Linked DNA regions of Rattus norvegicus. The protein of the gene in region 1 interacts with the protein of each later gene in a biochemical or structural test. Links are inferred from orthologs where the notes say so. Each region holds a gene or a part of one and is shown in the gene's direction. Other genes may lie near its edges. The genes, in order: Lmna and Emd.

Region 1 (4,472 bases):
CCATGCCTACCGAAAGCTGCTGGAGGGCGAGGAGGAGAGGTGAACTAGGAGGGGTCTAGAGACACTGTCGGGGCCTATGGCCTGCAACTCCCACGACTAACGCCGCGTCTTGTCTCCACCTTCCCAGGCTACGCCTGTCCCCCAGCCCTACCTCGCAGCGCAGCCGTGGCCGCGCCTCCTCCCACTCCTCCCAGTCTCAGGGTGGAGGCAGCGTCACCAAAAAGCGCAAGCTGGAGTCTTCTGAGAGCCGGAGCAGCTTCTCGCAGCATGCTCGCACTAGCGGCCGTGTGGCCGTAGAGGAAGTAGATGAAGAGGGCAAGTTCGTGCGGCTGCGCAACAAGTCCAACGAGGTGGGCCTGAGATCAGGGTCTGGTTTTCAATGGCTGGGAGCCCCTGGTTCTGGTGGAGCGTCTGTCGCCCTATCTGAGAATTTGGAGTGTGTGGTAGTCTTTACATCTCTAAGTTGGGAAGATGGAGGAATATAGGTGTGTGTGGCACAGTACGACATTTGAGTGAGTAGAGTAGGTTGGGATGCCAGAGGTAGGGGCGGCAGGCCAGCAGGCCAGTCTTCTCTGTGCTTTGTTTTGTTTTGTTGTTTTGTTGTTTTTTGCTCTTTTGCTTTGCTTTGCTTTTTTTTTTTTTTTTTTTTTTTTTTGGTTTTTGTTTGTTTGTTTTGCAATGGGGTCTTGCCCAGGGTGGCTTTGATCTCCTGGGATTAAGCTGTTCCCCCACCTCAGCCTCCATAGTCGCTGGAACTGCTGGTGTACACTGGCGCCTAGCCTGCACATAAGTGAGATTAGCCCAGAGCCAGGTTGAGCTTCCTGTCCTCTTCCCTCCACCCTACTTGCAGGACCAGTCCATGGGCAACTGGCAGATCAGGCGTCAGAATGGTGATGATCCTTTGATGACTTATCGCTTCCCACCGAAGTTCACCCTAAAGGCCGGGCAGGTGGTGACGGTGAGTGGAAGGGCCTGCGTGGGACTCTGGGGTGGAGAAGTTGGACTCAGGACAAGAGCATTAAGAATAAGCACATCTCTTAAACCATCTGTCCCCAGATCTGGGCTTCAGGAGCTGGGGCCACCCATAGCCCCCCTACTGACTTGGTGTGGAAGGCACAGAACACTTGGGGCTGTGGGAGCAGCCTTCGCACGGCTCTCATCAACGCCACTGGAGAAGTGAGTATGTCGCAGCTGGTAGCTTGCTGGACAAGGCTGCCCCTGGTGGCCATAATGGGACTAGCTACCTCCCTGAGCCCAGTTCCCACCCAGCCGTAAGCAAGCCAAAAGTCTCCCCAGTAGAATGATGGGTGGAAGTCAGCCAGTGAGTGTTAACAGCAGACTCCAGTTTAAAGAACGCTCGCTGAGTTGTCAGCTGTGTCCTGTGTGCGTGTATATTTGTGTGCGTGTGTGTGTGTATGTGTGTGTGTGTGTGTGTGCGTGCATTCCTTAGCCCCAGCATCAGAGGTTGGAGCAAGGTTATATAAGGGCCCAGGATGGTTCTAGCTGTACAGCCCTCACCTCCTGACTCTTGGGTCTGGGCTTATGTCCCCATAGGAAGTGGCCATGCGCAAGCTGGTGCGCTCACTGACCATGGTTGAGGACAATGACGATGAGGAAGAGGATGGAGATGAGCTGCTCCATCACCATCGTGTGAGTGGCAGCCGCCGCTGAGGCCCAGCCCACAAGGGTAGCCCTGGCAGCCTAGGGCAGCTCTCCCGCCTCCATGCCAAAGTCTTTTCATTAAAGTGTTTTGGAATGCCACTTGCTGCCCTCGCCTTTCTTCTCTCTCCTCCCTCTACCTTGAACAGGGAGCCCAGGTGTCTGGTAAGGAAGGGAGTGGGGACTTTCTGATGCCACAGACTCTTCCATGGTGGCAGTGGACAGGATCTGGATTTGTCTCCTGGGAAGGGATGGGAGGACAGAGATGGCCCCAGCCCTGCCTCTCTTCCCCACCCACTCCCTTTGCATGCACGCTTTTCTGCTCCTCTCTGTCCTATTGCATGCTTCTCCTCAGATTCCCCTGCAGCAATGTTTTCTCTCATTTCTGTCCCTCCACAAATTAAGTTTCTCCATCTTCAGCCTCCCTCCTGATTGATTGCCCCTTAAGTGTCTAGGATTCAGGAGAGAGTTAAAACCACAGCTCTTCATTTTGAAGGCTTCCTGGCCATTTCCCCATCATGCCCTTCCTCCCAGCCACAGGCCTCCTATGTCCCTACCACTCCGGCTATGTGGGTGCAGACAGAGGTCACCTTCCTGCCCCATGGCCAGGAATCTACAGGAGCCCAGAGCCTAGGTGCTGGTCCTAAGAAGTCAGTCCCAAACTCGCTGTCCCTCCTGAGCCTTGTCTCCCTTCCCAGGGCTCCCACTGCAGCAGCTCGGGGGACCCCGCTGAGTACAACCTGCGCTCACGCACCGTGCTGTGCGGGACATGTGGGCAGCCTGCTGACAAGGCTGCCAGTGGCTCAGGAGCCCAGGTGGGCGGATCCATCTCCTCTGGCTCTTCTGCCTCCAGTGTCACAGTCACTCGAAGCTTCCGCAGTGTGGGGGGCAGTGGGGGTGGCAGCTTCGGGGACAACCTAGTCACCCGCTCCTACCTCCTGGGCAACTCCAGTCCCCGGACCCAGGTGAGTCATCTCTTCGCTTCTGCCCTACAGCAGGACACTGCTCACCGAGCAGCAGGGCAGCCCACGGGAGTGGGGTCCCCCTCCTTGCAGCCCCCCTTGCATCCTGCCCCTCCTGTCTGAACCCCAGACTCGAGGTCAGGGCGAGGCCCAGAGTGTGAGGGTTTGGGAGACACACCCCCTTTGGGGTCAGGGAGGGAGAGGAAGGGCCAGGCACTGCTGCTCACACCTCTGCCTTCTCTTCTCTCTTAGAGCTCCCAGAACTGCAGCATCATGTAATCTGGGACCTGCCAGGCAGGGGTGGGGGCAGAGGCCACCTGCTCCCTCTTCACCACATGCCACCTCCTGCCCTGTTCCTTATGAGAGCAGGTCTGAAGCCAAAGAAAACTATCCCCTGCCTTTGGGTGTTTTTCTTTTTTCCTTCTATTTTTTTTCTAAGAGAAGTTATTTTCTACAGTGGTTTTATACTGAAGGAAAAACACAAGCAAAAAAAAAAGTGTCTTTATCTCAATCCTTAGTCCTTCCCTTTTCCCTGTATCTGCCTTAAACCAAAGGGCTTCTCATAGGAGCCCAGGGAAAGGACTGCTTTTGTAGTCTAGATTTTTGTCCTGCTGCCTTGGCTTTGCCCTCATCCCAGGACCCTGTGACACGGTGCCTGAGAGGCAGGCATGGAGTTCTCTTTACCGGCCTCCTCCACAGCTGGCCCACTGCCATGCCAGCTGCAAAGAAAAGGGGTGCAGAGAGAATGACTGAAAGGTCAAGCCCCTCCTGGCTCACTACACTTGGCCGAGACTCCTCTGCCTGCCTTACCCTCCTGCCTTCCCGAGCCTGGGACGAGTGGATTCCCAGAGGCAAATCTGCCATGCTTGCTTTTTTCTATATTGTATTCAGACAAGAGATGGGAAAGATGGGGAAGGAGAAGGGACGGTCAGTTTGAACCTACCTTTCCCCCGTGCGTACAGCCTGCTGGTGGGCTCTGTCCTGTCGGTGGAGGGCAGTATTAAGTGGGATTGGGGAGAGAGTGAGGGAAAGGCTCCTGGAGATTGGGAGAACCTGCTGGGGCCAGTGAGAAGACTAGAGGGTGTGGTGATTGGTGGCTACAGCAAACACTAAGGAACCCTTCATCCCACTTCCCATCTGCACCTCTGCTCTCCCCCCAAATCAATACACTAGTTGTTTCCATCCCGGATGCTGTGGTGTCTCTTTGTTGGGTGTCACGTGTATTTTCAGGGGCAGACACATGCACACACAGGTGCCACACATTCACTACATATTCGGTGCTACACAGCTATGAAGGGTATGTATTGAGTACTGGGGAGGGGTCTTCTATAAAGTTCAACCATGTGGGGTGAAAGGGGCATGGCCTTCCTAACCCTCATCCACCCAGCACTGATCCAGCACCTTCTGAATGGGGCCAGCAAGCCACGTGTTCATCAGACACAGGAACACAGACAGATGGACAGCAGAGTAGGGGTGGGGACTAGCAGAGCTCCCTATGCCAAGGCTGCCTCGGGAGTCCCAGCTCTGGTTGCTGCGATTGCTTCGGTAGGCTGAGATACTCTCAGGGAAGAAAGGAAAGGCGGGGGTGTGGTGAGTTTGAGGCTAGTCTGGTAGTCACAAGATCCTGTTTCAAAAACAAAATACGTCTTTCCTGGGCAGAATAGCTGAGTGTTCTGTCAAAAGTGACTGAAAGCTGAAGAGATGACTCGGAAGTTAGGAGCATGTACTGTCTTACACAGGACCTGGGTTTGGTTCCTAGCCCTTCTATCAAGTAGCTCCCGACTGCCTGTAACTCCAGCTCTAGGACATCCAACCTGTCGCCAGAACTCCAAGTATATTTACTTGTATATG
Region 2 (4,527 bases), on another chromosome or scaffold:
CAACTTTTCTTCATTAAGCACTTTGTATGTGGTCAAAACTGGGCTCCACCTCCTCACCATTGCCTACTTTAAACTTCTATAGAGGACTGGCCAGTGACCTTCACTAAAGTGTCATCAAGGCCAGCCTAGAGCTGACCAGAGTATTCACTATCACTATCATTTAGAAAACCCATGGGTTGTAACCCCTCTAATAAACCTCTATCTCCAAAAATATTTACATTATGACTCATAAGAATAGCAAAAATTATCATTATAAAGTGGCAACAAAAATAATTTTATGATTGGGAGTCACTACAACATGAGTAACCGTTGTGGTCACAACAAGGGTCACAGCATTAGGAAGGTTGAGAATCACTGATTTAAGAGATCAGGCATCCCACACACCTTTTCTGCATGTACCCCCTCTTCTAGATGTCTCCAGTAAAGGGCAGCTTACACCTAGAGCCACATGACTTTTCGTAGAATATAATGGTCATGCTCACTCTTCAAGGCAACCTTTCTCTGATCCAGATCCTTAGTGAGCCTCCGTCAATTCCCATGGTTTACCTTTAGGCCAGCAGTTTGGAACCTCTGGGATACTATTCCTTTGGGTCTCACATATTAGATATCCTTCATATTAGATATTTATAATTTATAATAGCAAAATTACACTTATGAAGTACAACACAATAATTTTATGGTGGTGGTGGGGTCATCACAATATGAGGAACTGTATTAAAGGGTCGGCAGCATTAAGAAGGTTGAGAGATACTGCTCTAGGCTTTGCACACTGTCTAGGCCTCTAAGGTCACACCAAGCTTAGAGACTCTGCCAAAGAAGACTTCTCCCCTCAAAACTCCTCAGGGCCCAAGGTGGATGGAACAGTGAGTTAGGCAGGTACAAGGTGTACCCATCTACATGCATCACATAGCAGGCACCTTCTGATTGTGCCCATTGGCATGCCCTGGACCTTTGGAAAGCTGCTTGGTCCTACAGTGTTGGCGGCCTCTTGTCCCAGTGCTAGCCCCATTTCCTCCCGGATGGAACTAGGCGGCAGAGAGGACGGTGGGAATGGGCCTGTACAGGTGTGCAGGCCAGGGCCATGGAGCCTGTGAAGACCAGCGGAGATGGGTAGCGAGTGCCAGGGGTCTGTGGGTGGTTATGTAGGTGATGAGAGTCCTGTATGACAGCACTTGTGCACACAAAGAGCTCGCAACAGCGTCAGGCGCTGTGGAAAGGTTTGCTCTCAGGATTGGACTCTTCACATTGCTGTGGACCAGACTGTGGCTGAGAATCCTAGGCACTGGAAATCAGGATGAAGCCACAAAGGTGTGTAAGATTTCACAGCTTGGGAAATCACAAGCCAGTTTTGGTCCGCTGAGAACACTTGTCGCCCCTCTAGTACGTTGAGCTTTAGCACCCTCAGATAGCCTAGCTAGCCCCGCCCCTCAGCTGCCTAGCTCTCAAAGGAAGTCTCCGCTGCCCCAAAATCTCTCCCGCAAGCCCCTCCCTCTTCCTGTTCGAGTCAATCTCACACAAGTGTGACGTTTGTATTTGCCAGTCCAGCCTGCTAGACTGGTCTGTACTGGCCGCTCCGGCGGATTTGGGCCTGCCCTGAGGAGAGCGCGCAACCTGCGTAGCAGCGGCTGTGACGCAAACGTGACGGCGGCTTGACGCGCCCACAGCCGCTCTTGAGGCGCTGGCGCTTCCTCTGCTAGGCTCCGAGCTGTCTGTTTCTTGGGCCCTGTGTATAGGTGCCGGCCGCCCCTGGCGTTCAACACCGCTTCCAGGTGCCGGCCGTGTCTGCCATGGACGACTATGCGGTTTTGTCCGATACTGAGCTGGCCGCAGTGCTACGCCAGTACAACATCCCGCATGGGCCTATTGTGGGTATGCTGCAGCCGGTGGCGCTCAGAACCTCTCGGTCCCCCGCTTTCCCGCGCTCCTCCCTGAGCGTTCTTCCTACCTCCTCCTTCCCTCAGGTCCCCTCCCCGTGTTCCCTTGTGCTCTTGGGGTGCTCGGCTCGCACCCGCTGACCGCTTCGCACCCTGTGTCTGGGCAGGCTCCACTCGCAAGCTCTACGAAAAGAAAATCTTCGAGTACGAGACCCAGAGAAGGAGGCTTTCGCCCCCCAGCTCGTCATCGTCTTCATTCTCCTATCGGTTCTCAGGTGAGGCTCCAACTGCACAGCCCCAAAGAGCAGCTTGGGGCACAAGGCGCAGGGAGGGAGGGTGTGGCTGAAGCTACTGAGGGAGTAGGGGGAAGTCTGGAGATTGAAGGTCCTGTACCTTCTCCTCCACATGCAGACTTGGATTCAGCCTCCGTGGACTCAGACATGTATGATCTGCCCAAAAAGGAGGACGCCTTACTTTACCAGAGCAAGGGTAAGGCAGGTGTGGGATGGGCACTGATGTCTTTATCCCATGCTTCAGGGATTTGGGCACAGTGAAACTCCAGACCTCACCCCCTTGTACCAGTTCTCAGTGGCTTCAGAGAGAAGAAACTGGCACAGCACACACACAGACTGGGGGGGGGGGGCGGAAGGTGGCAAGAGGCCAGGTAAGGGGCACCACTTTTTCCTCTACCACTGTTTTCTTCCTCAAGACTATAATGATGACTACTATGAGGAGAGCTATTTGACTACCAGGACATACGGGGAGCCCGAGTCTGTGGGCATGTCCAAGAGCTTCCGCCGGCCAGGGACCTCACTTGTAGATGCTGATGATACCTTCCATCACCAGGTGAGTTGTCTGGTAGGCATACCTGGGGTGTATGTAGCCTTAGGGAATTCTAGGTTTGGATAGTTCAAGGAGATACTAGGTGCAGAGAGTGGATCTTAGGCCTTCAAGTATGGTTAGGATCAGCATACAGTTGTTGGCTCAAAAGTTCTACGTTGGAACCTCCAAAACTATTAGATTTGGGGATGAGCATATATAGCTCAGTAGAAGAGCATTTACCTATGGTTTCATCTCCAGCATCCAGCAGCACACACAAATGTTTTTGGGGTTTTGGCATTTTTAAAAATTTAATTACTTTAATTATACCTATGTGTAGCCAATTTTTTGTTAGTTTGTGGGTTCCCCTCACCCTTTCACCCCCAATCATTAGATAGAGAAAGAGAGCTAAAGATCCCTGAATCTAATTTCTTTCTTCCTTGTGTCTTCTTTGACCCCAGCTACTAGCAAACTGTAACCAACCTCACCTATTGGGGCTCTAGTATTTACATACCCTCTGAAAAATTCCCAGAATTCCAAATACCACAAAATTGCAGAAACTATCTGCAACTCAAAAGCATGAAGCAAATCATAGCTGCTGTAAAACAGCCCCATATCCCACATCTAGGGTTAAAATAAAAACATTCTTATAATATTTCTGTGTTTCTTAAGCCAAATTTCAAGAATTCTCACTACATGTATGTGTCTGTGGGTAGTATGCATGAGTGCTGGTGCCTACAGATGCCAGAATTGTCAGATTTCCCCTTAGATTCCCCTTAGAGCTAGAATGGCAAGTAGTTGTAAACTGCCTGATGTGAGTGCTGGAAAATGACCTTAGGTACCTAGGAAGAACAATAGGTGCTTTTAACCACTGAGGCATCTCTGCAGCCCACAAACTTTTATGATCTGAGCATATATAACAGCACCTGTACTCTAGGATGTAGGTTTAAGCCTCCTGAGAATCCTGGGGAATAAAAGGATGGTGGGACAAAGTTGACAAGGTTTGTAACTGGGTGGCAAGGCCCCACAGTTAAAGAGGGCATGGACCCAGAATGATGGGGGGGCAATTTTCTGCCCCCTACAATGTGACTAGAGTAGGCTAGCCAGAGACATTTGGGGAAACCATTCTTTCCCATTTCTAATCCTAATTATCCGGCAGGTGCGTGATGACATTTTCTCTTCTTCAGAAGAGGAAGGCAAGGATAGGTGAGTAGTGAACACATGTAGGGACAGGGACAAGTTTGACACTCAGACTCTCCTGCCTACCTGTCCCCTTCTTTTGCTACAGGGAACGCCCCATCTATGGCCGAGACAGTGCCTACCAGAGCATCGCACACTACCGCCCCATTTCCAATGTCTCCAGGAGCTCCCTGGGCTTATCATATTATCCTACATCCTCCACCTCTTCTGTGTCCTCCTCTTCATCTTCTCCCTCTTCATGGCTTACCCGACGTGCCATTCGACCAGAAAAGCAGGCCCCTACTGCTGCTCTGGGCCAGGATCGACAGGTCCCACTCTGGGGCCAGCTGTTACTCTTCCTGGCCTTTGCTGCCTTTCTGCTCTTTGTTTACTATTCCATACAAGCTGAAGAAGGCAACCCCTTCTGGATGGATCCCTAAGGGTATTGGTTTCAGAGCAGCTCTTAACAGGAGTTTTGGCTGACTGCCTTAGCAGTGTTTGCTGGGGGTGGGGGGTAGGGGCTTTTTTGTGTATTCTAGTTAGAGGGTACAGGGCCTAGCCTACGGCAGTGCTTGTCTCCACCTCATCTTGCCAAGGAAGCAGCAAATGCTGGCTTTCCACAGCCCAGTAGGCCCGTATGTACCTTCCTCTGGAG

What was found.
Region 2: the proteins of Lmna (region 1) and Emd form a complex in vitro, tested with the Homo sapiens proteins (4 studies listed by BioGRID and IntAct, with this or other methods). The link is inferred for Rattus norvegicus from reciprocal best matches to the Homo sapiens genes LMNA and EMD.

Annotation. Positions count from the first base shown.
Region 1 is NC_086020.1:176,236,903-176,241,374, reverse strand, and holds the end of Lmna (prelamin-A/C), read left to right. Parts: coding exon 1-39; intron 40-127; coding exon 128-350; intron 351-850; coding exon 851-958; intron 959-1,056; coding exon 1,057-1,176; intron 1,177-1,554; coding exon 1,555-1,650; intron 1,651-2,357; coding exon 2,358-2,624; intron 2,625-2,873; coding exon 2,874-2,900; 3' UTR 2,901-3,811; downstream 3,812-4,472.
Region 2 is NC_086039.1:157,188,758-157,193,284, forward strand, and holds the start of Emd (emerin), read left to right. Parts: upstream 1-1,680; 5' UTR 1,681-1,787; coding exon 1,788-1,869; intron 1,870-1,961; exon of another isoform or gene 1,962-2,041; coding exon 2,042-2,149; intron 2,150-2,285; coding exon 2,286-2,363; intron 2,364-2,583; coding exon 2,584-2,720; intron 2,721-3,852; coding exon 3,853-3,899; intron 3,900-3,981; coding exon 3,982-4,312; 3' UTR 4,313-4,527. UniProt on the Homo sapiens protein: Stabilizes and promotes the formation of a nuclear actin cortical network. Stimulates actin polymerization in vitro by binding and stabilizing the pointed end of growing filaments. Inhibits beta-catenin activity by preventing its accumulation in the nucleus.